Alligator mississippiensis: one gene and its partners. The protein of the gene in region 3 interacts with the protein of the main gene of each other region in a pairwise test. Links are inferred from orthologs where the notes say so. Each region holds a gene or a part of one and is shown on either strand. Other genes may lie near its edges.

Region 1 (7,784 bases), on a different chromosome or scaffold from region 3:
AGCCTGGACACCTAGGTTCATCCCCCCGCACCGAGCGCCGGTGCACCCCCTGGCCGGTCACACAAGCACTGGCCAATCACTCCCAGCCACTTCTGGGACCCACCCCCCAGCAGTGAGAGAAACCGTGGGGGGACCCCCCTGTTGGTGGGACTAGTCACGGGGAGGCATGTGTCCCCCCAACTAAGGTGAAAGCAGTTGCCCATGCTGGGAGGTGAGCAGGGGGGGATGGTAGCCCCTTACCTCTTGTGAATCTTTTCCTCCAAGGATTTGGCACAGAAAGCTCTGATCTCATAGTCGACCCCACAGGCCTGGAGGGGGAGACCCTGTTAATGTCAGTGCCCCTCACTCCCAACCTGCAGCCCCCTGCCCACCCAGGCCTGCGGGTGCCCCTCACTCCTGACCCACAGCCCCTACCTTGCCCGTGTCCTCAGGCCCTGGCTGTAGCGTCACCGAACATGGCAGATTGGGGGGTATCTGGGGGGGAGGCAGAAACAGTTAAACAGGGTGGTCCCTGGGGGCTGGTTTGGGGTTTGCGGAGGCCACTCACTTTGAAGGCGAAGGGGTGGGCTCGAGGGCCCAGCTTGCGCAGCAGACGGTCCTGCAGGCGGGTGGGGGTGAGTGGGGGGGATGCAGGGGGGGGCGCAGCCTGCAGTGCCTCCGAGAACAGGTCCTTGCGGAAGGACAGACCAAGAACGTCCAAGTCCTCGCGCCCATAGCGGAAAGCGCAGGTCAGCGTCACGAACACTGCGGGGTTGGGGTGGGGTCAGTGCAAGCCACACCGTCTTGGGGAACCCCAGGCCCCACGCCTTGGAGACCCCCCCAACCCCTCAGGCAATACCCCCACAACAAGATCTTCAGACCCCAAGCCCCACCCCCTTGGGACACCCCCCATCCCAGGAACCAAGGGATCACCCATCCATCAAGCCACACCCCCGAGGACACCTCCCCCCCATAGGTCCAGGCCATGCCCACCTTTCCGGTCCTTCAGGTATTCAGGGTCCACCAGCACCACGCCATCTGGGGGGAGGGGAAAAGGTGTAGGGGGGGTTGGACGAGCCCACCAACAGCCCACACTCCCGCAGACCCTTTTCCTGACCCCCCCAAACCAACTCACCCACGAGGTCCACGGAGTCCAGGTGGTCCACAAAGTCCCTTTTGCCCAGGTAGACAGTCAGCTGGTGGGGGGGGGGAAACGTGACAGGGGGAGCAGACCTCTCCCGACCCCAGAATTGCCCCCCAGCCCCCAACACCCCTGCCAGTGCCCCTTACTCCCAACCCACAGCCCCCCAAAACTGCCCTCCAGCTCCTGGTCCCCCCATTACAGGATCCCCCAGGTGCAAGGAGGGGGGATTAACCCCTCCTAGGCTGTGCTGGACTCACGAGCCACAGCCTGAATCTAACCCAGCCACAGCCCCTCCCCCGCACCTTGTGGCCAAGTTGGGGGGAGGGGGGGGGGAGGAAGGAAGATGGGCAGGGGTGGAAATGCTACAGGAAACCGAAGGGGGGGCGGGGGGGGCTGCGGTTCAGGAGTGAGGGGCACGCAGGGCTGGTGGAGGGCAGGGATCACTCACCTTGCAGTTAGGGCTCGACTTCTTGAAGACCCTGCAGAGGGGAGAATCACAGCCTCAGCCCCCGCAACATCCAGGGGATCAGACCTGATCTTTGACCTCCCCCCTGCTCTGCCCCCAGGCCCATAACCACCAAACTCCTAAAGATGGGCTTAGGCCTAGCTGGTTGCCACAGAAACATGAAGCCTGGGGGCATCTACAGAGGCCTGAGGGGGAGTCCAGGAGGAGCCTTAAGGGTGATGAGGAGCCTAGTCCTTGGGGGCAGGGGGCACCAGCAGGAGCTACAGGTCAGGAGTGAGGGGCACCAGGAGGGTTGGGGGGGCAGGGGCTGCAGGTCAGGAGTGAGGGACACAGGCAGGGCAGTGGGGGTAGGGAGGGGCCGTGGCTGTGACAGGACGTGCTGCTTCCTGTTTGTTTCTAGACGGGAAGTAGCACGGAGGATCCTCATGTCCGTCCATCCCCCACAATGGCCAACCTGCCCCCCACAACCCAGAACAGGACCCTGATCTGGGGGGCTGCAGTGCAATGATGCCCCCCACCCCACCACCAGCTGCAGCAGGGAACCCCGTTACACCTGGCCCTGTTCCACCCCAGAGGCAGCCGCACCTAGGACCTGTTCTACCCAGCCCCAACGCCCCACCCCAGAGCCAGCCGCACAGGGGACCCGTTATCCCTGCTCCCTGCAGTACCCTGGGGCTTGAACTGTGGAGTGGAGGGGGGTCACATCTCCTCTCCCCCTGCACCCTCCCACCCCCACCCAGCCCTTGCCAACTTCCGAATTAACGCTTGGCAATTTTCACTTCCTCTTTCTGGCCTGGAAGCCCCAAAAGGCTCAACTGCCTCATTAGCTGCAGCTTCCCTCCCCCAGCCCCAAAGGGTGTGGGGCAGGGGCTGCGGGTCAGGATTGAGGGGCACTGGCAGGGCTGGGGGGGCAGGAGCCTGCAGGTCGGGAGTATGGGGCACCCATGAGGCTTTGGGGGGCTGCAGATCAAGAGTGAAGGGCACTGGGCAGTAGGGGGCTGCGGGGCAGGAGTGAGGGGCACCGGCGGGGCCAGGGGTCTCCAGAGAACCCAGGCGTCCTGGTCTCTCTCGCCCCCCACAAAAAACGGACCCAGGCGTCCGGGGCCGGCGATGCCAGGCGCGGGCAGCTCCATCATTCCCCCTCCCCTCCCAGCCTGGCACGGCAGGACCCTGAGCCCAGATTAGCCGGGGAGCGGGGGGCGGACGCCGGAGGAGCGGAGGGGGTGGGCGCGGGAGGCTGGCCCGGACGCCGGGGCTCTCGCGGGGGGGGCGTCCAGACGCCTGGGGTCCCTGCCCCTCACCTGGTGCCCGCCTTCTCCCCCATGGCGCGGGGGGTCCTAGGCGGGCGGCGGGAGCCCCCGGCGCGGGCTGCAGGGAGTTGCGGACCCGAGTGGGGACATGGCAGGGGAGGGGGGGGCGGTCACGTGGGGGGGCGGGGCAGCCAATCACAGGGCGCGCGGGGGAGGAGGGGGGGACGTCAAGGGCGGGAGAGTTCCCCCCTCGCGTGCCCCAGGCGTAGTACACGCGTGTGCTTTGTACTTGTGCGTGTACATGCAGGCACATGTTTACACATGTAGTACACACGCGTGTGCACCTGCAACCACTCCACGCACACCTGCACGCATGTGCACAGGTCTGCACACACACACACATCCATGCGCATGGGGGTTGTGCAGATGCACACAGTTGCACGTTTTTGGGCGCACACAGGTGTGCCTGCGTCCCCCACGTGTATGGAAGCACACCAATGCAGAGCCGTCCACATGGGCAGTTGGGCCTGGATCCTCACACACATGCTTTGTTCTGGCCACAGGTCTCCACAGGCAGCCAAGTGTGTGTCTGTGTGTGTGTGTGCACGCATGTGCAAATGAGCCCCCACCTGCACACATGCACCCCCACCTGCACATGCACACACGTGTGCAAACAGGCCTGCAGACATACACACACGTGCAAACACACGTACACTGATCTGCATGCGCACACCTTTGAGCACAGATCTGCACACATATACCAAGATTTGTAGACACACACGGGTGAACTCCCACCATCCTCACATGCATGTGCACACAGCTGTGCATGGAGCTGCATGCACACATGCACACATTTTCATGCCCACATGCACATACACCCCACACATGCACCCATACACCCTCATACGTGCAAACATGACTGCACAGATCTCCACACCACCCTTGAGCACAGATCTGCACATGCACACATGCAAATTTTTAGACACATGTAAGTGAACTTGCATCTTACCCACACGCATGTGCACACAGCAGACAGTTGTGCATGGAGCTGCACACACGCACATCTTCATACCCAGTGCACATACATCCCCCCCCCACACACACACACACCTGTGCTTGGACACAACCGCACCCCTCTTGCACACAGCGCTGTGTTCACACCCGCGGCCCCTTGGCACACGCACACGCCCATACCCACGTCCGGCCACCACGGGGCGCTGGGGGCGGGCGTGACTCAACCCCAGCCAGGAACCTGCCTGTGGTTACGGGCCCGGGGGGACTGGCAGGATCCAGCTGACCCGAGACTGGGCAGAGCTGGGGGGCAAGGAGGGGACCCCTGGTCTGAACCAGTCTGTGCCCAGTGCTCTGGACGGGATCGTCTGGGCTGGTTTGGACAGGGCTGGGATTAACGAGGGCAGGCCTAACGACACAGCGGTCTCAGTGTAACGCAGAGGAGATTAGGTCACCTAGGCCCAGGACTATACGGACAGGGCATCTGTCCCCTAGCCCCAGGACTAAGGGTCTAAGTCTCTGCGAGAGGAGGGGCCTGGGGTGGGAGGAGGGGACTGGAGGCCCAGACCCTGGTTCTCGGTGGGGGACTGGGACCAGCGGGGCGGCTCAAGTCCCTTTACGACCCTCTTGCGGGGGATCATCCAATTTCTATGTGCCCATATGACCCAGCTCTGGGCCTTGTCACGTGACCCCTGTCCCCGCGCCCGGGAGCTCTGTGGGCCGTACCATTCTCCCCCGAAGTGTAAAAGGGAGCTTAGTTCCCCCGTATCCCGCTCCACCCCCTCCTCCGGTACAATCCGGCTCTTATAACCACCCCCGCCCCCAGAATGATGGGGGTGGGGGGAATTAGGGGCTTCGTCGAAGTGTCCCCATGAATAGCCCCCACCTTGAACAGAATGGAACCGTCCAGGCCCATCCCCTTCTCGTCGCTTTCCAGGGGTCGCCGCCAAGTGGTACCTCCCTCCCTCTGTTCCCCCCCTGCGCTCAGCTGCCGAATGGTAGCTGCCGCCTCTTATTTATTCCCCCCCCCCCCTCCCCCCGGACGATGATCTTCTGTTCTTGCCCCTCCCTGTCAAATGCTTCCCGGGAGCGGGCAGCAGCGGTTTTTGGTAATGGGGGCCCCTTGCTGGGAGCAGAGTCAGGTCCTTGGACCGACAAGAAGGGGGTTGGGGGGATCTAGCAGTCCCCTTTCTGTGGGGGGTCTGAGCCGCAGCTCTGGGGTGTTGCACCCCCCAAATCTGTCTCCCCCCCCCACGCTGGAGGTTTTTGTCTTGTGCAATGGAAGTGGACCCTGCAGCTGCCCTAGAGCCTCGGGTGTCTCATGGGGAGAAGATTGGCTCTATACTGGAGGGGGAGGGGAAGGGGAAGGATGGGGGTTGGCTATAGGGGTATTTGCTATATATAGAGGACCAGACTGGAGATGGTCTTCTTTATAGGAGAAAAGGATTGGGAGGTTGTCTGTCCACTAGGGAGCAGAGAGCGGGGGGGGGGGGCGGTTAGGTGCATTGTGGGTAGGTTGAAGTGGCTACACAGAAAGAGTAGGATGGAGAGGCTGGTTCTATGTTGGGGGGGGGGGAGGACTGGGCAGTTCTCAAGGGCTTTTCCACATCCATTGTGGGGTTGGCTATATTAGGGAGTAAGCATGCAGGGGTTGGATTTATGGTGGGGAAGAAGGAATTGAGATTCCCTCTATGGAGGGGGGGTTCTCAAGTGTGCTTCCCAGTGCATTAGGCCTTGGCTCTGTTGGGGTTGGCTTTATGGGTGGGTGGGGGGTGCAAAGGCTCTGGAGGGAGAGGTTCCCCAAGGGCTTTTCCAGCTGCATTGTGGGTAGGGGGGGGACTTGTCTCTAGAGGGGAAGTGATTGGTTGGCTGTATGGGGGGAGAGGGAGTTGGGCTTTCAGGTGCATTGTGGGTAAGGAGGGCATTTTAGGGGAAGGGGCTGATGCTAGGACAGTGAGGGTTGGGGGCACATTTAAATGAATGAGGGGTCCTCCATGCTGCCAAGAACAGCTGGTACCATTGAAACTCGAGGGGAGGGGGGTTGGATGTCCTTAACCATGGAAATGCAGGTGGCTGTGGCAGGCTAAAGCATCCGCCTGCACAAACGGGGACTAGAGTGTCCATCACAGTCAGCCCTAGTGGATCCAGGGGGCTAAAGTATCTGCTGCCACCACTGAGATTCTTTGAGGACAGTGGGGCTGGAGCACCCCACTCCTGGTTGGGCTGATGCAGTGGCCAAGGGCCATGACTTCAACCTGTTATCACAGTTGATCCCATGCAGTGGCTCAGTGGCGGAGACAGAAGAACGACAGAAACAGAAGGAAAAGAAACCCCAGTATTGTCAAACGTCTTTAGTTTATCTGTAAAAATCATGCATTTAAAACAAAAACATTGTATTTTTACCTCCATAAAAAACAATACCATTTGAAAATCAACCCTGACCCAAACCTCAATTGAACCGATGCAAAAATATATTATTTTACATACAGAATTTCCAGTTTTGTAAAACCAAATCTTGCTTCTGGAGCAAAGTGTGAAGCTGGTCGCTCAAACAGGAAATGTTGCAGTAGCGGAACAAACAATGATGCAGCCCAATTTACAAATGAAGTGGCAAAAAGTGCTCCTAAAAAAAGTCTGAGTAGCTCTGCAGCATAATGCCCAACACGTTTGCACAAGTCAGGTAAAGCAAGCACTAAGTCATGGTTAATAAAAGTCTGTTACAATAATTGTGCAGCTGCCCACAAAGACCTGGTGAGAGAACTCCAACATCCAGGCTCCCAGACCCCCCTGCCATCACACTCCAGCCCGCTCCCATCCAAGAGAACCAAGACATCTGGGCTCCCAGCTTCCTCCTTCCCACCCCAACGTGCCAGGGCTGAGTCCCCGGCAGCAGCCCAGCCCAGTCCCCACCCCCAGCCTGGGCTGCAGCAGCACCCAATGCTGCTAGGGGAAGGGAAACCCCCTGACTCATGGGGGGGTGGCAGCATGCAACAGAGCCCAGCTAGCTGGAAGAGACCCAGGCCCAGGTTACCCCCTGTCAAGAGACCACATTTGATACAGCTGATATCCAAAAGCAGGGGATGACCTGAGTGTCGCAGTGCCTCAGCCCTGCCTGGGACTCTTCCCTGGCTGCTGGGTGCCCCCCCCCCTTGTTGCCCCATGTGTCAAGGGGTTTTTAAGCCTCCCCCAGAGGCACTAGGTGCTGCTGCTAGCACCAATCCCGCAGGGTCCTGGCTAGAGGATCTTGCCCCTGCGCTTCCACCTCCAGGGGGGCACACAGCTTCAGAGCCAAGAGCAACCCCGCGGTGGCACCGAAGGGCCTCGACTGCATGCAGTGACCAAGGTTGATAAAAGGGTTCTCTAAGGTATGAGTGGGCTGGATGGCAGCAGGTCTGGCCTGCTCCGGCCTGGCTTCCCTCCAGGGCAGGGGTGACCAACCTAAGCCTGAGAAGGAGCCAGAATTTAGCAATGTACATTGCCAAAGAGCCACAGTAATATGTAATATGCAAGCAGTCATGTCACGTGACATAACGGCTATAGCAGCTGGTCACCGTGCTTGTGCAAAGGTTCAAGGAGATGCATATTAACTTTTGAAGAGCCGCACGTGGCCCCAGAGCCACCAGTTGGCCACCCCAGCTCTAGGGCCTGTCCCATACACTTCATTTCTATGAAATGCTGGGAGGGGTGTGGGGGGTTAACTTGAAAGTGTAGGGATGAGCTCATTTTGGAAAACTTTTCTCCTGCGAGAGCTGGGAAGGCATCTGCCTCCGGCCTTCCCACCGTGTGCAGTAGCCCAGCAGCGACAATATTTCCCCCTGGCGCACACACACTAGTCAACAGCACTGAGGAGAGGGGTTGGCCCTGAGGTCTGCTGCTACACAGTGGGTTGGGAAGGTAAATCTCTACCTGACTAAAGGCTGCCCGGACAAGCAAC
Region 2 (7,878 bases), on a different chromosome or scaffold from region 3:
CAAGGGTGGGGGCAGCCAGGAGGTCAGTCCTTGAAGACAGCCTGGTGGCCGTGGGAACGCTCGTCGTGAGTGATGTGGCGCCGCACGTGGATACGCCGCACCCGGTGCTCGCGCCCGTCCTCGTCCTCGGCACGGGCCGCCCCGCCCCCACCGGCCGCGCCGCCCGTGGCCTCCAGCAGCGCCTTGTCGGGCACCCGCGGCGTCTCGTAGATCAGGATGTTCAGGGTTTCCTCGAAGATCCGCGCCTCGGGGAACTCCACCTGCGCGGGGGTCAGGGGTCAGAGGGGCCAGGGCATACCAACTCCCCTTGGGATGGGGGAGCTGTGCAATCCAGCTCGCTCTGGACTGTACCAAAGACCAATAGGAGAAACCAAAAATGGCTTCACTCAGCACAGTGTGATGTACCAAATATCAACAAGAGGTGGGGACACAGGGGCTCAGACCGTACCACTGTCAGTGCAGGGGGGATGGAATGTACCATACCAACATAACGGGGAGATCTGGAACATACCAAATATCAATGGGAAGGGGGGAAAGTCTAAACAAGGCTCTAGGGCTAGGCAGCGCTCTGGGAAATACCAAATGCCAATATAAGGGGGGGGAGGTTTGGACCATCTCAAGTGCTCATAAAATGGGGGGTTGAGACATACCAAACCAGTGTAGAGCTTGATGAAGAGATTTGGGACATAGCAAGTGCCAAGGTGTGGGGGGGAGTTTCCCACTCCTACTGGGTTGCACCAAATTCCCATATTGGGGGGGGGGGGGGAAATGTAGCAAGTGGCCACAGGCGGGGTGCAGTGCAGCTCCCTGTCAGCCTTGCCTAGCAGGATGTACCAAGCCGACTGCGGGGTGGGGGGGTGTCCCACACCTTGGTCTGCTTCTTTTCGGTGGCATAGACGATGGAGGTACAGCAGACCTCGGCGATCTTGCGGCCCTGCCCGTAGAAGGACCAGCAGCAGATCTCGTCGCCCAGCACGTCCTTGACGAAGAGCACGCGCCCGTTGAAGCGCAGCGCCAGCTTGTCAAACAGCTCGATGTTCTTCAGCAGGTTGTCGTCCGAGTTGCTGTTGGGGGAGGGGGGGAGGCAGTGGCACCGTGAGCGGGGCAGGGCAGGGCAGGGCAGGGCAGGGCAGAGGCTGGGGGCCAGGGCATCCTTACCTGGTGTACGAATACTTGTTGTTGCTCCGGTTATGCAGCAATTTCACCACCGGCTGTGGGGAGAGGAGCCACAGGGTGGGGGGTTGGAGCTGGGCAGGACAGCGCGAGGAGAGGGTCCCCGTCCTGCCCCTTCCCCATCGCTCACCTTGGAGCAGCTGGAGATGATCTGCTGCTCCTCCTTGGGGGACGTCACCATGGGGATCAGGCACAGGGGGTCGTAGGCCTCGCTCTTGTTCTACGCGGAGACACCCAGTCACCGCTGCCCCCCCCACCGTGTGCGGCCGGAGCCCTGCCCCCGCCCCCAGGTTACCTGCAGGGCCAGCTGGCAGTCCTCCACCAGCCCCTGGATGAGGTAGTAGCGCGCCTCGCACAGCACCTCCTCCAGCTCCCGCTGCGACGCAGGCAGCGGCACCGCCCCGTCCCTCAGGTAGTTCAGGATCGTGCCGAAGTGGCGCCCGTTCCGATCGATCAGGATCCAGCCTGCGGGGGCCGGGGCTGAGAGGGCGGCTGGCCAGCAGGGCCCGCGCCAGGCTCTGGGCGGCCTGACGCAGAGCAGGGCTCTGCTCGCCGCGCGGGGCCGTGCCTGGCGCTTCCTCCTCCGGGCCTCTCGACGGGCTCCCCTGCCCGGACCTGCCCCTCCGCCCCCCGCTGCTCCAGCCAGACCACCGGAAGCAATGGATCCCGGACATGGCAGTTCTCAGCAGGGGGCACTGGGGGGGGCCGTGGGGCAGGAGCACCAGAGCTGGGGGGGGGGCAGTCAGCAAATGGCAGGGCAGTCAGCAGGGCAGGAGGGCAGGGGCAGGGGGTAGGGGGGGCAGTCAGCAGGGCGGGGGGCAGTCAGCAAGGCAGGAGGGCAGGGGCAGGGGCGGTGGGGCAGGGGGTAGTCAGTGGGGCAGGAAGACGGGGCAGGGGGCAGTCAGTGGGGCAGGAGGGCAGTCAGCAGGCAGTGGGGCAGGAGGGTGGGGGGCAGGGGGCAGTCAGCGGGGCAGGATGGGGGAGCAGTCAGCAGGTGGCAGGGCAGGAGGGTGGGGGCAGGAGGACGGGGGCAGTCAGCAGGTGGCGGGGCAGGGGCGGTGGGGCAGGGGGCAGTGAGCGGGACAGGAGGACGGGGGGAGGGGCGGTGGGGGGCAGTGAGTGGGGCAGGGGCGCAGCGCGGGCCCTACCCTCGCTGTCGGTGAGCACCTCCATGCGGCCGCTGAACATGGCCTTGAGCATGGTGTCCTGCTTGCCCAGGGTCTGCAGCGTGGTGTAGTGCAGCGACCCGCCCACGTTCAGCTTCACGTACTTGCTGCTGGGGTTCAGGGGCTTGAGGTCGAAGGTGGCGCCCGCGGGCGGCGCGGCCGGGGCGGGGGGCTGCGCGGGCGGCGCGGGGGCGCAGGCCTCGGGGCCCGGGGCTGCCGTGGCCTCCGCCGACATCGCCGCCTGCGGGGAGGGGAGGCCGGGGTGAGCCCGCGGAGACGTCCCCTGCCCCGGCGCGGCGACCTCCGACCCCGCCACAGCCCCCTGCTGCCCGGCGGCCCTGGGCTCACCCCGTCCCGCCGGGGGTGGGTGCCGAGGCCCCCCGCGGCCGCCCCTTCTCCTGCGCCCGCCGAGCTGTCAGCGACCGGCAGCCCGAGCCAAGAACCGCACCGCGCCTGCGCGCCGGACCCCCGCGCTTAGCCTGCACATCCGGGTTCTCCCCGCCGAGCTACAGGGAGAGGGCGTGGCGAGCGTTACTCATGCGCAGAATGCAACGTCGCGGCAGCGTAAGAGCGAGCGGCGCATCCGCCACAGGAGGGCGCTACCTCTCCCCGGCAGGCAGGCCCTCTGGCGCATGCGCACAGACCTAGAGCCTTTAGGCCTGTTGGGGAGGGGAAGAGAGGGGATACGTCAGAAGGTGCGCACTGTCGTTAGCGCCTGGGCGTCACCTGAGGGCGGAAGAGGAAGTGGGGTGGGGAGTCACGTGGCAAACGCGGGCCGCACGTGTTGCGTGGGGCCATGCGGGGCGCGGACGAGAACCGGGACCCCGAGGGTGCGGCGCGGGCTCCGCGCGGCGACAAGGTGGCGGTGGCGGCGGGGCTGCACGACGTTTCCAACCGCCTGTCTCCAGGTACCGCCGCGGAGGCTAGCTGTCCCGCTGCCGCCCGCACCGCGAGACCGGCCCAGGCGGCCGCTTACCCCCTCCCCCTTCTGCCCGCAGCCCCGCGGGACCCCAGCGCCTTCGTCGAGGACCCCGACACGGCGCGGCCGCGCCCCCCGCCGCGCCCGGCCCCGGACGCCTGGGTCCCGCCGCGCCGTGCGCCCCCGCCGCGGCCCCAGCTGGGCGCCATCTTCCAGAACCGCTGGGGCCTCTCGTTCATCAGCGACCCGGGGCCCCCCGCCGCCCCGCGCGACGGCATGAGCCGCCCGGACTGGGAGGCGGCGCGCAGCTACCACCGCGACGGTGAGGGGCGGGGCACTGCAGGGGGTGGCGGGCAAGGCGGGCGGGCTGTGGGGCGGGAGCGTGGGGCGCTGTGGGGGGGCACTGCGTGGCCTCACCCCCTGCTCTCCCCACAGCCTGGGATCACATCTGGAAGGAGCACACGCAAGGTGAGTGCCGCGGGGGGGGGGGGCTGAGCAGCCCCTGGATGCCTGGGGTCGGGCAGTTGGGGGAGGGGTGCACAGCCCCGGACACCTGGGTTCTCTTGTGCTAACCACAGCTCTGTCTCCGCAGTGCCCAGCAGTGTGGCCGTCTACACAGATGCCCTGGATGGGAAGGGTTAAATTCCCTTCCAGGGGCTGAAGATGCTGCTATGACCCCGGGGCAGGGCCCCAGGGACACCTGCCCTCTGCCCCGGTGCCTGACTCCTGATGGGCCGTGGGGGAAGGGGCTCCCCTGGTGCATTGGGGGAGTTACGTCTGGGGGCAGGTTTGGTGGTGGGGGCTGGTCCCCCCCACCCTGAATGCACCTGGCACAGAGGCAGGGGACAGCTGTGGTCCCCAGGGTGTTCTGTGGAGGGCACATGGTGGCCTTGGGGCTTGGCCTGGCCTGGCCTGGCCTGGTCAGTCTGTCAGCTTCTGTCTTGTTATCTCCTGTTCTGTCCCCATTAAATCCTACGTCCCTTTGCATGGTCCCACTGTTTTGCTTTGCCCTTTGCCTGGTCCCAGTAGTTTGCCTAGGTGCTCCAGGCCAAGACAAATGGAAGGTGTCCAAGCCTGCGCCTGCAGGCAGACAGCTGCCTTCTGCCTCCGAGCCCCGGGGCTCTGCCCCTGTTGCAGGCAGTGCTGCCCTAGCAGGAGGGCTCACTCACCTCTGGCCGAGTGTGTCTAGTGGGGTGACCCCCTGTCCTTGTTGTTCTTGGCTATGGGCAACTGCGAGGGTGGGTGTGATAGACTGTCTTGCTGCCTCCACCTCAGGCCCCTAGCATTGTTTTCTGCTGCAGCTGGGTCGGGAGAGGGCGGTGTGTAACGCTTCCCCTCCCAGGGGCAGCGGCAGGTTCCCTTGTCTCTACAGTCCCAGAGAGGCTGGTTGCCCTTTTCCAGCATGGCTACGCCAGCGTCGTAAGAGGCCGCTGGAGCCGCGCTGGGGGCCCCGCATTCCGCTGCCTCCTGGCACCGCCTCCTAGCCTCGGCGCATGCGCGGTGCGGCGGAGCTTCCGCCAGCGCGCCTCACACGCCGGGAGCGCCGCGCCTTAAAGGGACCGGGGCGCAGCTGCGCGCATGGCGGGGGGGCCGAGCCCGCTGCGGCAGTGTCTGGTGCAGCGCCCCCCGCTGGTCGCCTGTGCGCTGGGGCTGGCGGCGTTGGGGCTGGCGCTGGCGGCGCTGGGCGCGCACGTCCAGGCGCACAACGTGCGGGACTCCGAGGCGCAGGTGAGGCGCTGTGGCCGAGCGGGGCCGCGGGGTGGGGCGGGGTGGTACTGAGCGCGCTACCCCTGCAGGACTGGAACGCGCTGCTGGCCGCCGTGGCCGAGCTGCGCTTCTGCCCCGAGTCCGGCCCGGCGCCGCCCCCAACGGCCGGGACGGCTGCGTCCGCGTCCGTGTCCGTGCAGGTGTCACTGCGTTTCGACCTCCCAGGCGGGCCCCGCCCCAACGCCACGCGCTTCGCGGCCACCGTCTCCGCGCGCCGCCTCGGGCTGGCAGGTGAGCCCCGCCCCACCCCGCCCGTGACCCGCCCCCTACTCCAGCCCCGCACTGACCCCGCCCCCCGCAGGCCCGGCGGCTGCACTGCCTGTGCGCCTGGTGGCGCTGAGCCCCTGGGGCGGCCCCGGCAGCTCCTGCCTGCGCCTGGACGGCCCCGCCGCGCTGCTGCCCCGACACAGGTGAGTGCGGGGAGGGGCCGGGCCGGCCTAGGCTCTTCCCCTACTGAAGGCCCTACCCCCGCAGGGAGCCGCCGCGCTGCGTACTGGGCCCCACGGAGGCCGCGGCCGGAGTGACGCAGGGGACCGGGGGCTGCCTCCGCCCGCGCTACCACCCCGATCCCGCGCTCACACCCACGCTCAGCCCGGTGAGGCGCGGTCGGGGCGCGGGGACGTCACGGCAGGGGCAGGGAGTAGGGCCCAATGCAGGCGTGTACATGGGGAGGGGCGGGGCAACGGGGGCCGGGCTATGACGGTCGCCAAGCAATAGTGGGGGGGCGGGGCTACGGGGGGAGAACAGCAACAGGGGCGGGGCTACGGGGGGAGAACAGCAACAGGGGCGGGGCTATGGGCAGGGGCGCGAGGGGGCGGGGCTCTGCGGCTGCCCTGACCCCTCCTTCCCCCCGCAGGAGGAGCGCGCGCTGTGTAGCCAGCGCCTGGTGCTGTCCGGCCTGGCCCTGCTGGGCCTCTGCGCCCTGGGCCTCGCGCTGGCGGCCGCCGGCATCTGGCCCACGCCTGCCCGCGACAAGTGGGCCCAGGTGTAGCGCTGCCCGGGGGGGTCACCCCGCCCCACGGAGCGCAGGGCCCCGGCTGTCCAGGCACCTAACGTGGCTCCGCTTGGGCCCGGTGCCCTGACGCCCCCCCAGGTGCCGGCTGCAGCTGCGGCGCCCTAATAAATGTTTGGAGCCTACCTGGCCCCGCGTCCTGCTTCCTGCGCGCCGCGGCTGGGCCGTGGGGGCCGCGTGCCCTCCCCGCGGGGCTGGTGCGCGAGAGCCCTCCGGGCGGGGGTGGCGGGCGCGGGGGGTCTCGTGCCTGCCCCAGGCTGGCGGGAGCGGCGTCTGCTCCGGGGCCAGCAGGCAGCGCGGCCCCCCTCCCGGGCTGGCAGCCATGGCGGTCTCGCGCCCGGCTGAGCGGGAGCCTGGGGCCGGGGCGTCTCCCCGCGGCCCCAGGCTCCTGTTCCTCCGCGGCCACGGGCAGGACGTGGCCAGATGCACGCCGGTGTTGCCGCTCCGGAGGGCTGGCGGCCATGGGGGCGTCCTCCCCTCCCTGGGTGGGCAGCGCCTCGGTCACAAGCAGCAGTGGCGCCGACGGCCACGAGGGCATCGTCTGCCCCGGCCCGGGCTGGCAGTGCGCGGCTCTCCTCCGGCCCCGGGGGTGGTGACGGCGGGGCTGGCTCCCCTCACGTTGGGGCTGGCGGGTGTATGGTGTCTCTGCTTGCTACCAGCACCCCTCCCCACGGAGCCGGCAGGGCTGGCTCCCCCAGCAGCATGGCTGGGGCCGTGGCACGGTGCCCTCCCGCCTGGTGTCGCTGCCTCAGGCCAGGCAGACGGTGTCCCCCACGACGGGAAGGGCTTTCTCAGCCGCCATCTTGACCAGGTGATGTGTAACGGCCGCTTCGGGCCGTTGGCCCCGTTTTCCCGCCCTTTTCTGGCGGGTCCCACAGGGCACCGCTACGCATGCGCGGCCACCAATCCTGCCCTGGTAACAGCGGGCGGAGACGCGGAGGGGTGGCCCCGCCCCCGGGCTTTGCGCACACCTATAAGAAGGAGACTCTTGGCCTCCGGCCCCGCCCCAGCCCCGAGCGGCTTCGTCCAGTCAGAGCTCGGAGTTCGCAACGACCGCAGCCACGCCCACGGCCGCGGCCCCTTTTCCTGCAACCGTTATTCGGCCGGCCAATCCCTACCTAGGTTTACTTTTTGTCCCGCCCCTCTTCTTGGAGCCAACCAATCCAATATCACTTTCCTCTTGCTTTGTGGTCACGCCCGTTTCCGGCCGTATGGCAGGTCTTGCCGCTGATTGGCCCAGCGCTATGCAGTTGCGCATGCGCCTAGCTACTCACCGCCCCTCCTTTCAGAGGGCGCCGCGCTTCTATTGCGCACGCGCCTTCCCTCGGCCTTTCCCCCCCTGCGCATGCGCCGGGTCCCAAGCGGGTGTAGCCGCTCCCTAGCGACGCGTCGCTCCCAGCTCTTCCCCGCCCGCCGCGCATGCGCTCGACGGGGGCACCATGCCATGCGCATGCGTGTGCGCCCCCTTCCCCTCCCCGGCCCCTCTACTGCGCGTGCGCGCGGTGGTCGGGCCTGGTTCCGGTTCGGCTCCGGCCGCAGGCGCCATCTTGGACGCGGGGACGGCGGCGGCGGCGGTCGCACGGAGCAGCGACCCCCGCCCGGCCCCCGCGGCCCGCCCCTAGAGCCTCCCCGCGTCGCCCGGCCCCCACAGCCCCTCGGCCCCGAGCGCCCCCACAGCATCCTGCCCTGCCCCTGCGCGCCCCGCCGCCGCCGCCGCCCATGGAGCCGCGCCCGGCCCCTGCCGGCGCCCCGGGGAGCCCGCGGGCGTCTCGCGGCCGCCCCCGGCCCCGGCCCCTATAGGAGCTCCTGCCGGCGCCCGCCCCCGCCCTCGCCCGTGCTGG
Region 3 (7,432 bases):
TGATGGAGGTGCACACAGCTTGCTGCAGGCCAGCTCTTCCAGTGACAGTCTCTGTAGCTGTCCTCACTGGAAATGGTAAAGCCTAGGATGATCTTAGCCCTAGCAGCTGCTGAGTGCCCAGGAAGCTACTGAGAAACTACCCTGTGTCCCAGAAGTAAGGCAGTGCAATAAGAACAAAGGGAGAAGATAACCCATGCTCTGCAGCAGCTGCTTGTCTGACTTTGCAGCAAGTGGTCCCTCTTCAATCCACTGGCAATACCCCTGAGAATCGCAGCACTGGATGCTCCCGTGCAGAGAGCTTTGTCCTTCCAGCCCCTTGGCAGCAGCATTGAGCAGACTGCCAGCCGCATCCCTGGTATTTTGTTCATTCCTGCTTGAGATTTCCCCCCCATGGTAGGATTCCTAGGAGCCCCTCGGGTCTGGGCAACAGACTCAGAGCCCCCTGCCCTCAGCAGGATGCCGGCAGTGAGCAGGGGCTGCCTACTCAAGCCAAGCTGACAGCGGGGGAAGTTCCCTGGCCCAGGCTGGGGGCACTAGTGAAACAGCAGAGCAGCAACACGGGAACGGCCCAGCCCGCACGGCCCAGGAGCCAGGGGGCAGGCTGACACCCTGCACAGCGAGGGCCGAGGGTCGCTGCCCTGCCTGCTCCCCCCGAAGCTGGGCAGCACCCTGCACTCCCCGCTCTTTGCAGCCCTTCAGAGCACGAGGGGTCGTTGATCGCTTCCTGCCACTGCCGATCTGAGAAGGGCCCGTGTCGCTGCTCTCCCCCCGCCCCCCCCCCGCACCTGTCCGCGTGCGTCTGAGCATCAGCTTCCCTCTGACAGCCCCGCGCAGCCCCGCCGAGCCCGGACCTCGCGCGTCCCCCCGCCGGGCCGGGAGCCGAGATGCAGCACTTCAAGAGCTGGCAGGAGGGCAGAGGGAAGACCCGAGGGCCGCCCTGGCAGTGCTGATCGCGATGCACTGTCGCCCAGCACGTCTGTACATCATGTCCTGCCAGCCCCCGCCGCATGGCCCAGCCCAGCCCCCCGGGCTGCCCGAGCCCGGGGCAACAGGGAGAGCAAGGGGAAGAGAAAAACAAAACACCCCGCCAAGTGTTTAGTGCAGCCGGGGGGGGCCACGGACGTGGCTGTCGGAAGCCTTCGGACCCCCGCGCCCTCGGACAGGCGATGGGCGGCCGGAAAGACGCCTTCTCCGCGCTGCCCCTGCCCCGCGCACCGCCCCCGGGCTGCCGGAGCCCACGAGGGAGGCGTGGAGCACTTCTCCAGCCCTCCCCTCAGTCTCCCCCAGCTGATCTGCCCTTCGTGAGACCGGGCGCGGGCGTGGGGAGGAAGTGAACCAGAAAAGCGTCGCTTAAAAAAAGTTGTCAGCGCAACTTTGTATTTAGTCCGCGGCTAAGAGCATCCGCAGCGCTGGGGAGGGGGAGGGGGAGGGGAAGGGACGGGCAGGCCTCCGACCCGATGCCCAGCCCCAGAGAGGAGGCAGCTCCGCGGTTCAGGCCACGGTGAAGATGAAGATGAAGATGATGGTTCTAACCAGAGCTCTGAGGTAGATCAACACAGTGACAAGGACACCACAAAAGTCACCCGTTCCTCCTGGGATGAGCCTGCTACAACAGGCTTAAAATAACCCCCCGGCGCGCCTATAAATAGGTCCTTGCTACAGCGTTTGTGCATCCGCACACCCCGGGCAGGCACCTCCCGGCCGTCCTCTGGCCGCCACGTCGCCGGGTGCCTTTTCGCCCCTAAGGAAGGCCGAGCCCTACAACACGGACACCTGGGTGCTAGGGTTGACCCCCGGGGGCTCGGGGCGACCATTGGGCACAGTACCTTGACAGTGCAACAAGCCTCCTGTGGCCGCGACGGCACCTCCCTCGCACAGCAGCTCGCAAGGCTTATCCGGCCCCGAGTGGTAGCCGTTGTCCTCCTCGTGGAAGTCGCTCCTGCCGTTGCTGTTGGAGTATCCATTGGCGTAGAGCTTGAGGGCGGAGCGGCGCAGGCACAGCAGCTCCTGGAAGGCGAACCTGAAGTCCGGGCTGCGGCAGTAGATGAGCGGGTTGAAAGCGGAATTGACATAGCCCAGCCAGTTGAGGAGGGTGTACAGGTAATTGGGGATGATGTTGTCCTGGATGACGTGCACGATGTTGACGATGAAGAAGGGCAGCCAGCACAGCGTGAAGGTGCCCATGATGATGCCCAGGGTCTTCAGGGCTTTGTGCTCCTTGAGGCAGAACTTGGAGGCGCGCCGGCCCGGCCGGCCGCTGTGCTCGGGCTGCTGGCAGCCCTGGACGTGGAACCTGTCGATCTTCTTCAGCTGCTGCTTGGCCACCTGGAAGACCCGGGCGTAGACGAAGACCATGACCACCAAGGGCAGGTAGAAGGAGATGATGGAGGAGGCGATGGCGTAGGCCTGGTTGGTGAAGAAGTAGCAGCACGTGGCCTTCTCGTAGCAGTCCAGGGCCTCCCGGCTTTCCGCCTGATACCAGTGCATGTGGATGGGCAGGAAGGAGGTGAGCGCTGACACCAGCCACACCACGAGGATGACTACGCGGGCCTTGCCCTTGGTCAGCAGGCTCTGGTACTTGAAGGGCGAGGTGATGGCGAAGTAGCGGTCCACGGCGATGACGCACAAGGTCTCGATGCTGGCCGTCACGCACAGCACGTCCAGCGACGTCCAGAACTCGCACCAGAAGTTGCCGAACTGCCACATCTGCAGCATGATGTGGCTGGCGCCGAAGGGCACCACGGCCAGCCCCATCACCAGGTCGGCGCAAGCCAGCGACGTGATGAAGCAGTTGGTGACCGTCTGCAGGCGCTGGAAGCGCGCGATGGCCGTGATCACCAGCACGTTGCCGAAGACGATGGCCAGCACGATGAGCGACATGAGCACGCCCATGCCCACCATCCACACGTCCCCCGACAGCGTGGTGCTGTTCGCGCTGTCCAGCCCGCTGGCGTTCCGCGCCGACGCCATGGCTCCTCGCTGCCGCCGGGCTCCGGCCAGGGCAGGCCAGCTCCAGCCCCAGCCCCAACCCCAGCCCTGCCGCCCGCCCGCCCGCCCCGTCCGGGCAGCAGCCAAGTGTCCCGAGTCCGTTATGTGCCAGGCAGCTTATAGAACAGCCGGGCGTGACATCACAAAGGGCGCAGCCAATGGGAGGCCGGCGGGACACGCAAGCCGACTCGAGCGTTCTGAGCGGGGACCGCAGCGCGGCGCCCGCTGTCCCGCGCGGGGACCCGCTCCGAGCAGAGCTCCCGGTACGGCGCGGCAGCTGCCCCCGGCTGGCCTGGGTTGGGCGGAGCGGGGCGGATCGCTGCTGCCGGCCGGGTCTCAGATCCGGCGCTGCTGCGTGGAGCGGGATGGGCGCGATCACTTCCCCGCTGCGGGCTCGGGCGGAGGCGAGCGCTCGACTCAGCCCGGGGCTCTCGATCTGCCCGGGACCCCTCAGCCGGGGGGAGGCGGCAGCTGCTCCTTCCCTCCCTCGCCCTCGGACCGTGTCTGACGGCTCGACCCAGTCGCCAGGTGCAGCGAAGCGCGGCGCAGCTCCCTCCTCGGGCCAACCGAGTGGCGCGGGTAGATCTAGTTCCTCTAGTTGCAGCCTTTAGCCGGCCACACCCTCCCTTTTAACTGCAGGTCTGAATTTAGCACATGATCCCTGGAGTCGGATCAGAAAGTGAGTGTAAACTTCCTTCCTCAGGAGGAAAGTGGAGGCTAAATGAAATGCCTAGCTTAGGGACTGGGCAAATAATCAGAAGCCCCACAAGAAGACAGGTGCAGAACCTGTCCTACCCGTCCCCCCGCTCCCCCCAGAAATCAGGACACTTCTCCGAGAGTCCTGCTGATTTCAGTGTGACCCCTCTCAAAGTGAGGGAGAGCTCACATGGGTCCCTTCAGTATTGTGCAATTCCTGCTTTAGAAGCATGTGCAAGGATCCAGTGTACAAGGAGGCTGCAGCTCCCAGGGCCTGGTAAGACCAAGATGGGATCTGCAGTGCCCCCCCCCAGCAGATTTGCCAAACAAGCAGGTGGCTTAGACTGAACGCTGGCAGAAGTGTATGGAGGAATCAAGAAAGGTGAGGCCAGTATCTCAGCCACTTTGTTTGGGTAAGGGCGAGTGCTCTGACAGAGTCTTCAGATACTTTGGGAACCATGTAGCCTTTTAAATTTACTGTAGGGCAACTCAGCTCATCCTGAGGCCACTAATGGTACTAGAAGGACCTTATCCTTCCTTAGCTTGTGCTGTGATGTACAATTTCTGGATTTCTGGTGAGCATAAAGGGGATCTTTTGACTCTTGAAAAGCATCAAGGAGAAGAAGGGTGTACTTGGTAGCTGTGTTGGTCTGAGACAAAAAGACATACAAAAAACTAGAACTCTTGGTTCCAAAATGATACCTTTTATTAGACCAACTGGAAAATAGCAAGAAAAAAGACAATTTTCTTGCCATTTTCCAGTTGGTCTCATAAAAGATATCATTTTGGAACCAAGAGTTCTAGGTTTTTTTTTAAGTCAAGGAGAAGAAGGCATTTTTATGGACTTTTGCTACCTAATAGCATCTATTTTTAGGTCTTTTTCCTCAGACCAGAATTTGTAATACAGGTTGTACCTGCCTTATCTGCCTGTACATTAGATTTTCAAAAGACCTTAAATGAGAAGTTAAACTTTTAATTTACATAACTCGGAGTGTGTACATAGGGTCAGTTGCCTTTTCTCTAATCAGCTTGAAAGCATTGTTGTCCACACACAGCTGTTCACAATTACAGCAGCGACCTAGCCACAGTAAAATATGGCCCTGACACAATGTACTCAGTGATTTCCTGAGTATTCAGGACACCAATGCTATTAGGAATATTTGTGATCATATAACTCCAGTGCACTCTGCTTCACCATGCTGAAGCCAGACATAGTTAATCTGTTCATTTAACTTTTAAAAGTATTTTCCCCAGAAGCAAAGAATCGGCTAACTAGGGAATAAAGATGGTGCCAAGCTTCTTGTAACCTGACTGAAAAGAATGCTGCTGCTTTATGTTTCATTTTTGCTGGGTTTTTTTAGAATAAAACCATACTGTCTCAGCCCTGCATTTTTCACAACTAAATTAAATTTCCTGCAAGGCGTGAGGTCTTTTGGGCTTGTCTTCCAAGTCTCAGGGCTGTGATTTGCATGGTCATTAAAGATCCCAGGGCACAGAAAGGACTCACAATGGTGTCACAGCCCAAAATTTCATTTCTGTCCACAGCCATGCTGTGTATCCATTATCCATGGCTGCGTGGTGGTGATGCTGTTGGTATATTCATGCTCTTAGGCACAAAAGCAGTCCCTTCCTCACAAACAATCCCCATGATGTCATCCACAGAACTAGCATATGAAGGACTGCAAGTATTTGCAGCATCAGGTACAGGGTTTGTTCAGCTTTTTAGATGAAAGGTAACAGGGAAATGCAAGTATTGTTATGACTAAAATGGCCCGGAGGCAGAGGGCTTCTGATTGTTCTTCAGATTTCTGAAGGATTATTAATGTTAAATCACACTCTAAAGTTCTCAGGACAGTAAAGATTCAGTGGTTTTCAAGAGTGTGCCTCGTTTTTCTATTCCTAATAGGAAATTAAATGCAAAAGCAGTAAATATCCCAGATGTTCCCATTAGCAAAGTAAACTTGCCAACAGTTACTCTGCTCTGCTTGTTCTTCTCACTTTCTCTGAGGGGTAGTGATCAGAGCAAGCATCTCAGAACTTGCTGCTTTGAATCCACTAGGTGTCCCATTTCATGTCAGTGCTACTCCTGGTGTATGTAATAGGCCCGAAGATTTTATTTATAGAGCACAACTGTGTATGTTGAAGGAAGTTTTGTGGCTTAAGAAAGGGTGGGGGATGTATGAAGGACTGCAAGTATTTGCAGCATCAGGTACAGGTTTTGTTCAGCTGAACTTCACTGAACTTTTGAAACAGGAAATAAGGTTAAAAGCAATGTCAATCACTAGGTATTTTCCATGTTGGGCCAGTTTATTTCCCCTGAAGCAGGAGAAGCCTCATTTCTGCATACATTTCTTGCCCTGTTCCTGAATACCACTGTCTGCCCAGCCTTCACAATCCTTAACTTTATGAAAATAAACAAATTTAAAAACATAAAATAGATGATATACACAGCCCTTGTTTTCCCTGCAAATACCAAAAGCCTTCAGAAAGAATGAGGATTGACTAAGCAAAGCAGGCTGCAGGTTGCACTAGGGAACAGAAATGACCTTTGATAAACCATGAGTTTCAATTAACTGGAGGTTGGGTAAAGCGTTTGTGCTCTAATAAACCTGTATCTATAGTTACAGCTGTTCCTAGCAAGGGTAAATCGGCATAGGTACACTGACTTAAACTGAGTTGTGCTAATCTAGGTCAGTGAAGGATCTGGCCCATAATTGCTTAACACAGCTCCATTTACTTGCTTTGAGACACTTTAATGGCTTGCACATTCCATCTCTCCTTTGCACATATATCCACCCCTCCCATGCCCAAAAGCCACACACCTTGAAGTGGAAACACCAAAGGAAATGATTGGGAAAGAGGGATTGTTGACTAGGCAATGTTTGAGAAGAGATAAGGACCTGCAGGCAACATGGGGAAGGAAAGCAGAAAGCACAGTAAGAAGGGACAAGTTATGGCACCTCGTTTACCTGTTCATTCTTTCTTGAGAGCTGATCAAAAATGGAATTAAGATATATATTTTTTGTGACTGAAGAAGGGAATTCCTTTAATTTTCACTGTGTCGCTGCTGATTGTGGTGTTTAGACAGAACTCTGAGAGTTCAGAAAGCAGATGACTTCACATCCTGAAGCACCCCCTATATTAAAATCTAGATATATATGGTATCACTTGCAAGAAGTATTACATCTTGAAAAGAGACTGGAGACCTGGAAAACACCAACTGGGGTGGGGGAATGGGAGGAGCAGGGCTTGCCCGTGCTGAGTTTGCCAGTTGAACAATGCAACATCAGCTCTGGCTATGTGTCATGCATGCACAAAAACTCACACACCTTCCAGATACTGACCCACCATGAACCTCCACAGTGTACTTCAGGGCTGTCTATTAGTCAGGGTGGAGAAAATGACCAGCTCATCTAAAACCTTGATGTAATCTGTCTTTGCTCATTTGTATTCACTATGAACCACTCGTATGGTTAATAAAGTAAGATGGAGAAGTGGGGAAAAAGGAAGATTTTCCCGAAGCCCAGGGACCTGCTAACACACAGAGCTATGTCCCTGATGGGAATGAGGTACAACAGTAAGTTATTAGTGCTCTATTTGATTTGTGGGATTTACATCTTTATAATGACAGCCCTTTGAGTTCTTGTACAAAGATAGTCCATTTTACAAATTATCCAGAGCTCATCCAAGCTATTAACTTGCTCATAATCAGCTTTGCTAATATGAAAACACAGATGTTGTTGGTTAT

Evidence for each region. The genes of interacting proteins can lie anywhere in the genome.
Region 1: the proteins of ADRB2 (region 3) and ARRB2 interact in binary tests that used the Homo sapiens proteins (3 or more experiments, as listed by UniProt). The link is inferred for Alligator mississippiensis from reciprocal best matches to the Homo sapiens genes ADRB2 and ARRB2.
Region 2: the proteins of ADRB2 (region 3) and KCTD13 interact in a protein complementation assay, tested with the Homo sapiens proteins (2 studies listed by BioGRID and IntAct, with this or other methods). The link is inferred for Alligator mississippiensis from reciprocal best matches to the Homo sapiens genes ADRB2 and KCTD13.

The regions. Positions count from the first base shown.
Region 1 is NC_081838.1:23,720,522-23,728,305, forward strand, and holds the start of ARRB2 (beta-arrestin-2), read right to left. Parts: upstream 3,008-7,784; 5' UTR 2,914-3,007; coding exon 2,891-2,913; intron 1,603-2,890; coding exon 1,572-1,602; intron 1,176-1,571; coding exon 1,115-1,175; intron 1,018-1,114; coding exon 973-1,017; intron 745-972; coding exon 548-744; intron 475-547; coding exon 415-474; intron 309-414; coding exon 241-308; intron 1-240. UniProt on the Homo sapiens protein: Functions in regulating agonist-mediated G-protein coupled receptor (GPCR) signaling by mediating both receptor desensitization and resensitization processes.
Region 2 is NC_081830.1:279,173-287,050, reverse strand, and holds the start of KCTD13 (BTB/POZ domain-containing adapter for CUL3-mediated RhoA degradation protein 1), read right to left. Parts: upstream 3,008-7,878; 5' UTR 2,688-3,007; intron 2,581-2,687; 5' UTR 2,575-2,580; coding exon 2,322-2,574; intron 1,639-2,321; coding exon 1,469-1,638; intron 1,394-1,468; coding exon 1,304-1,393; intron 1,212-1,303; coding exon 1,159-1,211; intron 1,065-1,158; coding exon 869-1,064; intron 261-868; coding exon 24-260; 3' UTR 1-23. Other genes in the region: ESX-1 secretion-associated protein EspI, read left to right, coding at 3,136-3,247, 3,338-3,580, 3,694-3,726, 5,055-5,256, 5,500-5,620, 5,882-6,016. UniProt on the Homo sapiens protein: Substrate-specific adapter of a BCR (BTB-CUL3-RBX1) E3 ubiquitin-protein ligase complex required for synaptic transmission.
Region 3 is NC_081832.1:60,956,058-60,963,489, forward strand, and holds the start of ADRB2 (beta-2 adrenergic receptor), read right to left. Parts: upstream 3,003-7,432; 5' UTR 2,971-3,002; coding exon 1,827-2,970; intron 1-1,826. UniProt on the Homo sapiens protein: Beta-adrenergic receptors mediate the catecholamine-induced activation of adenylate cyclase through the action of G proteins. The beta-2-adrenergic receptor binds epinephrine with an approximately 30-fold greater affinity than it does norepinephrine.